2 linked regions of the Neodiprion lecontei genome follow. The protein of the gene in region 1 interacts with the protein of each later gene in a pairwise test. Links are inferred from orthologs where the notes say so. Each region holds a gene or a part of one and is shown on either strand. Other genes may lie near its edges.

Region 1 (6,232 bases):
TCCCAGGTGTCACCATTGTTAGAAAGTATGGAGATCGAGCCGTCAGAGCTGCCGCATGCTAATATTAGTCCGAACTCGTGCGGCGCCCATGCAACGGAGTTCACAGACGAGTCGTGGGACGCATGTTCATATATCTTGGTCCACTCACCAAGCTCCTTCCAAATTATGACTTTCCTAACGCGAGATAAGTACAGTTTAGATTTTGCTTATTTTTGCATAAGGTCGGAAAACCGTGGAGCAAAAGTATTGAGATCACCAAATTTACCTGTCGTAACTGCAAGATGCCAAGATGTTGCCGAACTTCGGATGAGCCCAGGCAACTTGCCAAACAGGACCGACGTGGCCTTTCAAATCTGCAGCGAGGGTTTGCGTGCCGTTCTTCAGATCGAATATTTTCACCGAATTGTCACTTGAGCAGGTAGCTAACCTCAATCCGTAATAGTCCATTTCGGCATCGTGTATCATGTCCTCGTGGCCCGTGTCCACCGTGTTTAGAACGGAGACCATTTTCAATTATCTCTTCGTTTACCCGCAACGAGTTATTATTTATATTGTTTCTTTCACTATTTTTTGTTGTCGCAAATTGTCCGTTGCAGCGATTGAAGAATAACCACACAACTGATCCAACTGACATACGTGGAATCTGATGAAGTGGACACGCGCTAAAAGGCACCAACATCAGGCAACGAAAAGCATCAGAGTCACCACGAAGTGCTAGGGATTTTTCGTAAAAAGACAACACGTGCCCCACGTGCCTTTCCATTTGTTATGTTATTTTATCTATCGGCGGGATGGTTCAAAATTTGAAGTAGAATACATATTATATACTTTTAATTATGTCGATTGTGATAAATATTATTTTGTTCGTTATTTTTGAACTAGTTATACACTGACTGGAGATTGACAAATACATGATATGGCGTACTGTAGAAGGAAAAAAATAGGTATATTACGACTAAGTAAAACTAGAGTTAGCCCAGGCGGTCCAATCAATACCAGAGAAGAATGAAGACTCTTTGATTTCGGGAATAGATAAACGTTCCTCTGGCTTGTATCGCAATACCTGAACAAGGAGAGTAAGACAATCATATACAAAGGAATTCATTGACTTGAATGCACTGCTTCATTTATTTTGAGAACTAATTAAGTATTTAAACTCTTCAAACTCACATTAGAGATCAATGATTTCACGTTCGCTGATAGTTCTTCAGGAATGTTGAGAATAGAATGCGAGTGATATGGTCCAGGATGTTTAGTTTGGAATTTCTGAAAACAGAAAACATAAACTCAACGAATATCAATTTAAACTATGATAATTGGACATACAATTCCAGTGAAGAGCTCGTAGAGCAGGACTCCGTAGCTCCAAACATCGGCAGCAGTGGAGGGTGGAATTGTTGGTGAGAAGATACAAAGTTCAGGGGCGGAGTAGGGCTTCTTTAGCTGCAAGAGTTCGAAGCTTCGTTTTGGGACAATGTAAGTCATCGCGACATGGCCTCCGCTGCCTAATAATATATTATCTGGTTTTAAATTTCCGACTATGACACCCTGCTGGTGCAGAGATTCCAGTGCCAGGAGTATTTCAGCTGCCCAATATCGGATGGTTCCTTCGGGAAGCTTCCAGAGTTCGTCATCCATTTCAATACCGCTGTCCTCGTTAACGATCGATTGCAATTGGCCAGAATTCATAGTTTCCTCAATCACTCTATGAGAGCCATTGAGTTTTGACGATTCTTTCACTAACTCGTCCTCAACTTTGAAGTTCTTAACAAAATTAGACTTAGAATTTGCCAAAGCTTCGTCTGATCTTTCATTTTTTGCTTTCAGATCTATATTTCCAGATCCAATACCGTGAACACCATCTATGCTGTTACCTTGACTGAGTTTATCGATTTCTGTTACATTTAGGGCCTGAAACTCCCCACCGTGAGCTAAATTTCGAGAATGATCCGGCTTATCTTCACTGTACAGTAAAGTGCCAGATTCATTCAACCTGCTGGCTATTGAATTGCTTTTCTTCAGAGTGGCGTCAACCAATCGCAGAAGTTCTTGGGCTTTAGCGAGTAAGTCCGTGGTTTGAAATGTTTTAACAGGCGCAGCATTGGCTCCAAATTTTGCCTCTAATCTTCTGAGCGATTCATCAGGATCGATCGTCTCCTCTTCTTGCGGATCGAGATTTTCTCTGCTGCCACAAGCTCTGTCTTTCGAAACCTCAGCAAGTCCGTCAATTTTCGGTAACAGTCTTTCCTTAACTCCTAGCTTCTTCTTTTCCAGACTCGACTGAATAATAGCGTCGCAACTCACTGACCTTGTATGCCCTTTCTCTCTCCAATTAGAGACTGTGTTGCGGCCCTTGTAGTACGACTTGATATACTCCCAGAGCTTTCCTCCACTGAAATGTAAGAGCTGAGTCGCATCATCAAAATCAGCAAAGTCATATCCAGTTTCCACTCACCTCGCATAGTGCAGGACAAGAAATATCGTCGAATCCGTTTCTATGCATGCGTAAAGCCGTACCATGAATGGGATTTTGCCACGCAGAATGTAATCGCGGAGACTCCCAAGGCACCCAGCTGGCTTTTGGACTGTCTGGAAAGAGAATTACTAATTGAAACATCGCTGCCCAGATCAAAGCTAGTTCTTATTTATTTTTCAAAATGACGAATAACACAGAGAGCTTTACCTTTATAACTCTATTGCAATCACGCAAAGTGTCTCTGACCAGCATGACCGAGCCTATAACACGTAATACTTTATAATTTCCCAATTCACTAGTAGGCTTGGAAAGCATGCCTACGTTGCAGTTCAGATGCCTGTTGTAAAGCCTCTCTGCCTTCTCCAAATACTTGGATATCTTGTCTCTGATCGTGGCTCTGCGCCCGTAATCAGGGTCAGATTGAACACCATTGAGTAGGTTTGCTATGCCCAATTTATACAGCGTGAATGCTTCCTCGTATTCACACACAGCCTCGTGTCTGAAAGCTGCGCTCATGTGGGTAGCTGATACTAGAATATAACTGCTCAAGTCTTCAGCGGCACCCTCAGGTAAGTCAGATCCATCATGGACTGAAAAGCCATTCGAAGCTTGAAGCGAAGCTGTGAATTTAGGGGCATCATACCTGTCACAGGTTGGCGATTGCCTCTCAAGTTTTTCTTCGTCATTCTTATTATTGATTGGCTTTGTCCCACTTATGTTGACGCCATTCTCACTGACCACGCCAATTTCGTCAATGCAGTTATTGTTCACAGATAAGCTCTGGGAAACATTATCACTCGTCTCAATATCATTGTTGGCTAGTATGATCGTTCTGCCATTTGAAGTCGGAAACTGAGTATTCTGCACAGTGGTTGGAACGTAGCTGGTGCCTCTGAGAGCGGAGTTCAAGTTTGGGTCCTCTTCAGAGGTATCGGAGCCGATGGATGCCGAGCAGTCGGTTAGATAGTCTCTGGCATGTCCAGACTCGAAGAACTTGACAACTACATTGCTTGTAAAAAGTGGAGTGTGCCTTGCTACAAACTCCAGAAGTCTGATTGCACATTGTCGTCGCTCCTCAATAACTTCCGCCTCAAAACGGCCAAAGAACTTGGGCTTTGGGAAAGGTGGGAAGGCCTCTTTGATCCTCAAAGTGTCATGACGGCTGCTCAGCTCCAGGTACAACTTCCTAAAGTCGCTGTATCGCTTCCAAACCGAAACTCTGGACACAGCCTCTGGGGCTGATTTAGGATATATCTGAAAGTAGACGAGCAGCTAAAGGAGAGACTGTTGTTCGAGTAGACTTAAAATTAATAATAGTATATGTACCGACCACTGATGTAACTTTGTACACGGTAAATCCTTTCCTGTGACGCGAAGTCTCATTGATAAGGAACCTTCGTACCCATTTTTCCTTAGATGGTGCCATTTACTGTTATTAGACTTTGAATCGTATAGCACCCAATTATTGACCAGGGCTTCTTTGTTCATGCGAACATTTCATTCGAGCACGGCTCGTGCTTTTCTCTCTGTGTTAACCCAACACTAAACCAGTCTTAAATTACGCGAGTCCAAGTCTTTTTCTGTTATGAACGAAGGTGTCAAAAATGTATCGATTAAGTGTGGTGGTTTGGTGGTATTTCCCACGTGTATATGCATATACATATGCATACTCTATAGAATTTTGAACAGAAACTCTCTAAATTACCCGCACGCCATCTGGTCGCAGGAATTATCCACTGAGTGTTTACCCATGAACTCGGCAACGCAAAAGAAATAAAAGATGGTTCACAGCACTAGGGTTAGTTTCGGAACGCACCCGCAGCAGCGATCAGTAGATTTATCCCCTCTACAGAACGCAACGAGTTTTTTGCGTTCCGCAACGAACTGCATAGCGACCATGAGGCAAGGCGGTTGGAAAACAATGATAAACATCATATACATGCGTATACGTAACCGGCAACAATAAACTTCGATAATTCAAATCGCGTTGTTACAAACAAGTTGTTATACTTTATATTGTCAAATTGAAGTTGAGTTTTATGAATAAAGAACACCCGTTTGGAGGATCTGGCGCTATCCGATCCTCGCCCAGACGGTAAATATGTTTGTTTACGACGTGTTGGACAAGGAGAAGGTTTACCAGATACTGTCAAACGATCTTCGGAATTTGGGGGTTAAACGCCGGATCAAGAAACAGGCGGCGGCGTCTTCTTCAGCGAAGCCGGACTCGGGAGGCGGTCAGTCGCTGAAGACGGTATTCAAGACGAGTTTGGCCCACCTGCCACTCGATGTCGTGAAGCTATCCTCAGGGGCGATCGTCCACGTTCCCCAGTTTGTCACCCAAGCCTGTTCCTACATTGAGAAATACGCCAGCCAGGAGGGAATATTCCGAAAGGCGGGATCCCACCTCCGACAAAAGGAGATTATCGCCCGTCTCGACGGTGGGAGCACCCTGGGTGAGAAGTACCAGGTCGTCGACGTTGCCAATGTGCTAAAAACCTTCTTCAGGGACCTCCCTGACCCCCTGATCCCGCGCATTTACCAGGATGTCTTTCTGCGTTGTGCGCTTCTAAAAAATTCCAGGGTTCAGGCTCTGCTCATAGCGTGTCTGATCCTTCCTCCACATCACCTTAACACGCTCGCCTACCTTGCCGAGTTCTTGAAGCGAATCGCCAGGCTTGAGAGGCAGAACAAAATGGGCATTGATAATCTAGCCAAAGTCATGGGGCCCAGTATTATGCCGCTTCAGGAAACTACCATGTCGGCCGTACAGTCGAGACTGGAAACCCACCTTGTTATAGTAAAGGTGAGAATCTAATTTGCGCAGTCTAAGAGTTGATACTTATTCTGTTACCTCGGCTTCTTAGATATTGATCGAAAATGCTGAGCGCATCGGGGTCCTTCCTGATCACGTAGCAGATCTCATTGCCTCCGAGACTCCGGGCAGTGTTGAAACTGAAATAAATACCTCTGACTCTCTAAACCCATCCAAATACAAGAAAAAAAAACGACGGAGCGGGAGTCTTACACGTAAGCCACATCTAAGCGCCTCCAATCTCAACCTGAGTACGTCTATCCATCTGACTTTATTTTCTCTATACTTGTTTGCGGCAATCAACTTATTTAAGATTATGACTAGTTCAAGATCCCAGCCTTATTTGTTGTCGAAATTTAATGGGGTTGTCTATAAATAATGTATTTGTATGAGATCATGGCTAACTCTTCCTATTCATTTTTTCTAACAATTTTTGTTCTACCAGTGTGATCATGATCATTATTCAGTTTCAAATCTATTCGACGATAAATAGTGCATAATAGTTTTTCTTTAAATCCAAAGGAATGTTGAATGGGTTGAAGAAAATGGTTAGCAAGAGCGGATCACCAGACGCAGCAGCAAGTAGCGGAGTTGTGTCGAGTGAGTTCAGCGCTACCGACACACCTTCGATCAAAACAGGGAAGAAGCGCAAAGTGGCTGAGTCTGCGGCACCGTTGAGTGCAAAGAAAAAGTAAGCAATCGAGTTTAAATAGGCTTTTTTGCAATCGTGTTTTATTATTTTCTTTATCAACGTTCTGGGGGTATTTATTGCGTTTATATTGACTTGCAGGCGTCAAGTACTTCAGACATTGCCTGACGGCGGTTATCCTCGGCCAGAAAACACTATGTTTGCATCCATAATATGTAATGATCCAAAGTATGTAATGGTTAGAGTGTATGGTTTTGATATTACATGCAAAGATTTCTCGTGTTTCAAAATA
Region 2 (4,845 bases), on another chromosome or scaffold:
ACTCAATTTTTCTAGTATATACGTAACAAATGAAATTTTTTCTCAGTATACTTTCTTGAATACTCACGCAGAGAACTGGTACCGAAGTATTTTGGCCGCATGCGCCAATTGTCCAAGTTTTCCCCGCGAGCCTGAGGCCGGGTTGACTTTCCATCCTTTCCACAGCCTCTTCTCAGTCGGACGCCTCGACCGGCTTCAAACGATCTTTCGCTCTCACGGCGTCCTTCTCTCTCTCTCTTCTCCGAGTGTCCGTGCCCCAGAATGGCCTCAGCGATTCTCAGCTTGAACGGCGTCTCGACGCCACGGCGCCGCCGGTTTTCTCGGGATCACGGGTTGAGGACCTGCGGACAATATCGTAGGTAGGCGTGAAGGTTTTATCAGTACAATTAGTAACACCTCTGCGCTATACCTGGGACCCGAAACTATCTTTCGCTCGAAATGCTGGAGACTCGAGAAATGATTGAGTTCCGCCCACGACTCGGACAGCAGCTTCACCTACTATAATCCAATCTATGTACCTACACGGATATGATATACCGGTACCCAAACTCAAATTCACTTCGCACCGTACCGTCGTTTGATATTAGTCAATATGTGAGAGGCTGTTGTACGATAAAACGTTTCACGTACCTGGACCAGATGTTTTCTTCTTCTTTTTTTGTTAAATTTATTTATTACCGCGACTTTGTTGCGAAATATAGGAGCAGAGCAAGAAGTGATGAAAGATATTTCTGAAAACTATACGTATACATATATATATGCATATGAATAATCACCGTTATTATACACGTCGGCACTGATTAGCCTCTGATATACTCGATTTTATATCTCTCAATTATAAACTCATACGCACGGTCAAAATTGAGGAGCTGAAAGATACGGAGAATAGAATCGATTTTAGTAGATTTTTACACCTATTGCTCGATATCAATAACCTTATCACTGAACATTGAGGGTGGGCAAAAAAAATACTAGGTACATCGAATTTTTTTAAGCTTTTCAAGACCTGTTCAAAAATGACATCGGTAATTTGACAAACTTCTGATTTCTACTTTTTTTTTTAAATCCACACCGATAAATATCAAGGAAATTCAAGTAAAACTTCCACAAAATGCGCTACATCATCAACAATTTGAGTTGCAAATTTAACTCCATATTATATTGAACTTTGGTATAAAATTTTTAAGAATTTACAATAACTTAAAGACAGTGGAATATTTTGCGCATCGATACAAGAAAAAAAAACAACGTTTTTCATGAATTAAATAATCGTTAGCACTCGACACGCTGAGATTCAGCTGCTAATCAGAATCCTACAAAAAAAAGAATGTGAAACGATTCTCGCTGCTCAAAATCAGAATTTCCCCGCTTCCTCGCGTACTTGGCTTCGGGTATATAACGCGTTAAATCGCGGATGCATGCAGAGCGAAGTACGCGAAACGAGACCGTTGGACAAAGCAGCACTTTCCTGAAAAGGTCGTAAATTTTGGAGTTAACTCAGCGCGTGACCCTCGTGCGAAAACCTGAGGGCCTCTTCGCGTCTGAGCTGAAAATTTGTAGGAGCAGATTCCCTGATTTTCTCCCGCTATCTAAATCTGCCTTACATAAAGCGACTCGCTTAGCCTGGAGGAGGAGATCGCACGCCGAAATGTCGGACCTGTGCGACCCGCGTCTTTATTTTATGCCTGAACGCAGACACTGCGCGATCTCTCGCGAGTTACTAAAAATTATTATCATACTTATTGTCATTTCGTTTTTTGCTTTTTTTTCGAATTTTTTTTTTCCAACTCCCTGTCTCCTTTTCTTGCAACATCGCATTGCTCGGATGCGCTGTCGCGTTTCAGACGGAAAATACAGCGGAACTTAACAAGCTGATGACTATCGGCGCTCAGTGTTTCACATGGGTCATTTATGAATCAGTGACTCGTACCGTGAGAGCTGACACGGGAAACGCTGCACATTCCCAGTTTTTACTAAGGCCTGGATTTTTATTTTTCATACTTGTCAAAATATTTTTTTGTACACTTTTTTTTTCATTTCAACTTCTTCTCCGATGACGCAGGTTTTCGCGCGACGTCACTCGCGGGTATTTTTCATTTCTCAAACTGGAGTCTTCTTCATTCCGTCGGGTTTGCATTTTCAATTACCCGGTTTTTAATCGCTGCGGTCGCATTTTTTTTTGTTTTTTTTTTTCACCGTTTTCATAATTTATTTTCTTGTTGTCGAAGGAAGAATTGCGGATAAGAGAATACTTTTGCCGAAATTAATGGCTCGCTCGTTAGGCTGAATCTTATTATTAAATCTGATAAACACAAACGACCGCAATTCCGGTGGCTTAAACGTTATTAAGACGAACGAAGGACGTCTCTGACTGGAGTTTAACGACGAATAAACCTGCAGATACGATCAGAACGCGACGAATGTTTTACGTTAGGTACGAGCTGCGATATTCAGATTATCATGTAGTGGAACTGATATTTCTTTGGAGTGATTCATCTCTCTATCTGTGTTTACGTTAAATCGTGTATAACCAAAAAGATTACGTGAACATATTTTACTCCAATTCTTTCAACACTTGACTGCGAATTTAAATTAACATCGTATATTACAGAGCAGTAATTAATGCTCCAAATTATTTTATTTGAAAACACTCGTTAATTGAGTTTGCGGTTCAAGTAAACATGTATCGCGGCTTTCGGGTGATTTACGTTCAACTTTAAAGTGACTCAAGAAGATCGTACAATTTTGAAACGATGAATAAAGATCCGCATTGCAGCGACTGGTTATAACTAAATAACACAATATCTCGGTCCAATATATATATATATATATATACATACATGTGTGTACACATACCTGTATGTCGGAGTCAATGGAGACTCGTTCGTCCCATCGTTCGTGACGCCGTCCATATTATCGCGGAATCAACGAATTCACAATATCCGGGATCAAGACCGATTTGTCCGGAGGCTCGGCTCCGACTGCCGTTTCTCTCCGCTCCCGTAATCGGTACCCCTCTTGTTTATCAACAAGTTTCCCTTAATCCCGTGATTGCGACTACGTTTGGTGTTTATGAATAGAAAGTGTTCTTCCTCTTGAGCACAACTGTAAGAATGTCTGTAAGTGTGTTTACATTTTGGAATCTTACGCTTCTGATGCGAAGCCCGTAAGACAGTCAATGACCGTCTAATAATTGAAATGCGGATATGCATTATCAATATTTAACATTAATCACGAGGCCTTTTCATTGTTGAAGATATAAATTTGAAAAACTGGTAAATTCGAAAAATTAACGACGGAGCCAGGAATCGAACCTGGTATCTAGCGATGCTTTACCGGAGCCTTACTCCACTAGACCACCTAGCCGTTTGGTGTTTATCCCGTAACACCCAATTCCGTATGTAGCCCTGCGCATAATAAATCAACTCACAACGGATAACTCTAAGATAATACGGTGTAACGTCAAAGAAGCAGGTACAGCTTTTACTCCGACATATATTTGCAAGACTTTGTACGAGGAAATGAAAAAAGGAGATAAAAAAAAAAACAAATTAAAAAATGTTCAGCCGCACCGAATCCCCGCATCCGTGTATATAATATGGTAAAAAAGAAAATTTCGGCAGTGAGTTGTAGAAGCCAAGCTGGTTATATTCTTAAGGCAAGGACCCCGGCATGTAATGTGACTATTGGTCTGATTTATGGGAATATTTAGTACGTATTTATAGCTAATGGTTAGGCTTCGAGCGGTGTTCGCGATTCTCGTACAACTCTCGAACAACCCGTCCGAGGGACCGGTACACAAAAATCGCGAGGGACCACCGCTTGGTCGAATCTCATTGTGTGTACCTACCTACGTACGAATCAGAATCCTTCGAACTCGTTTATGAAATACCCAACGACTGTTCGGGCAAGGGCTTAACGTCCGTTCCCTTTGAACGATACAGGAAAGGAGTGCTCGCTCCGCCGTGAAACCAAATAATTCTTCCGTTTCGAGGTGAAAATATTTTTTTATATTACGACAAAAGCATTGCGTTTACAGAAATCTCAGATTATATTTTACGACGCTTGCACATTTTTAAAAGTGCAAGATAGTATTTTTACGGAGCGCGATTGGAGGTCCGAATTTTGAAAGTTCCGAAAGCGCCTAGTTTCGAATTAATTTGTGGCGAAACTTTAAATACAGAAATCAAACTCTTACGATACAACAAATTTTCGAAAAGTAAAGTTCCGACAGAGCAAAATTCCGAAAACAACGTTGAGATAGAGTAAGATTCCGAAAGTTGAAATATACTCACGCAGCGCAGTTTACTCTACGAGTCGGTGTAAAAAATCAGAATTACCAGGATTCCAAACGTAAAAATATCGAAAATCCAAAACAAAGAAAGATCAAAGTGGTGAAATTTCACCAAGCCAGAAATTCATAGAACCGAAAATCTTCGATCATTCAGAATCTCGATGTTGCAGGTTTTAAAATTTTCTCATTTTCGCACTTTCGAAACCTTAACGTTTCGTCAAAGTTTGATCTCTTTGCTTCAACCGTCTCCACCAAAAAATTCGAAATTTGTCACTTTCAAAACTTATTAAATTCGGAATTTCAACTCCGCCTCATTCTTACCTCTTAAGAATTACAGACGAAGTTTTCGATGCTGGAATAAAATCTTAGGATGAAATTTGTCTCCGCGAATTAAGTGGGTACATGTATAATATGGCTAAAGGAGAACCGCGTCGATTTGCGTAGCTTTTTTAAATACAACGCGATAAGGTATATTTTCGCGACGGTAGCAGCGGCCGCTGCATCCCGAATCGTGTATATAACCGGTAAATCGATTCTCCCGTAATCTTGGA

The links.
Region 2: the proteins of ribosomal protein S6 kinase delta-1 (region 1) and proteasome subunit alpha type-5 interact in a two-hybrid assay, tested with the Drosophila melanogaster proteins (2 studies listed by BioGRID). The link is inferred for Neodiprion lecontei from reciprocal best matches to the Drosophila melanogaster genes CG7156 and Prosalpha5.

Annotation. Positions count from the first base shown.
Region 1 is NC_060266.1:1,255,458-1,261,689, forward strand, and holds ribosomal protein S6 kinase delta-1, read right to left. Parts: upstream 4,209-6,232; 5' UTR 3,965-4,208; coding exon 3,803-3,964; intron 3,731-3,802; coding exon 2,684-3,730; intron 2,590-2,683; coding exon 2,456-2,589; intron 2,393-2,455; coding exon 1,327-2,392; intron 1,267-1,326; coding exon 1,171-1,266; intron 1,064-1,170; coding exon 956-1,063; 3' UTR 815-955; downstream 1-814. Other genes in the region: protein SEC13 homolog, read right to left, coding at 1-174, 266-507; rho GTPase-activating protein 21, read left to right, coding at 4,578-5,282, 5,344-5,542, 5,814-5,982, 6,082-6,168.
Region 2 is NC_060260.1:35,498,792-35,503,636, forward strand, and holds the start of proteasome subunit alpha type-5, read right to left. Parts: upstream 3,001-4,845; 5' UTR 2,857-3,000; intron 342-2,856; 5' UTR 155-341; coding exon 68-154; intron 1-67. UniProt on the Drosophila melanogaster protein: The proteasome is a multicatalytic proteinase complex which is characterized by its ability to cleave peptides with Arg, Phe, Tyr, Leu, and Glu adjacent to the leaving group at neutral or slightly basic pH.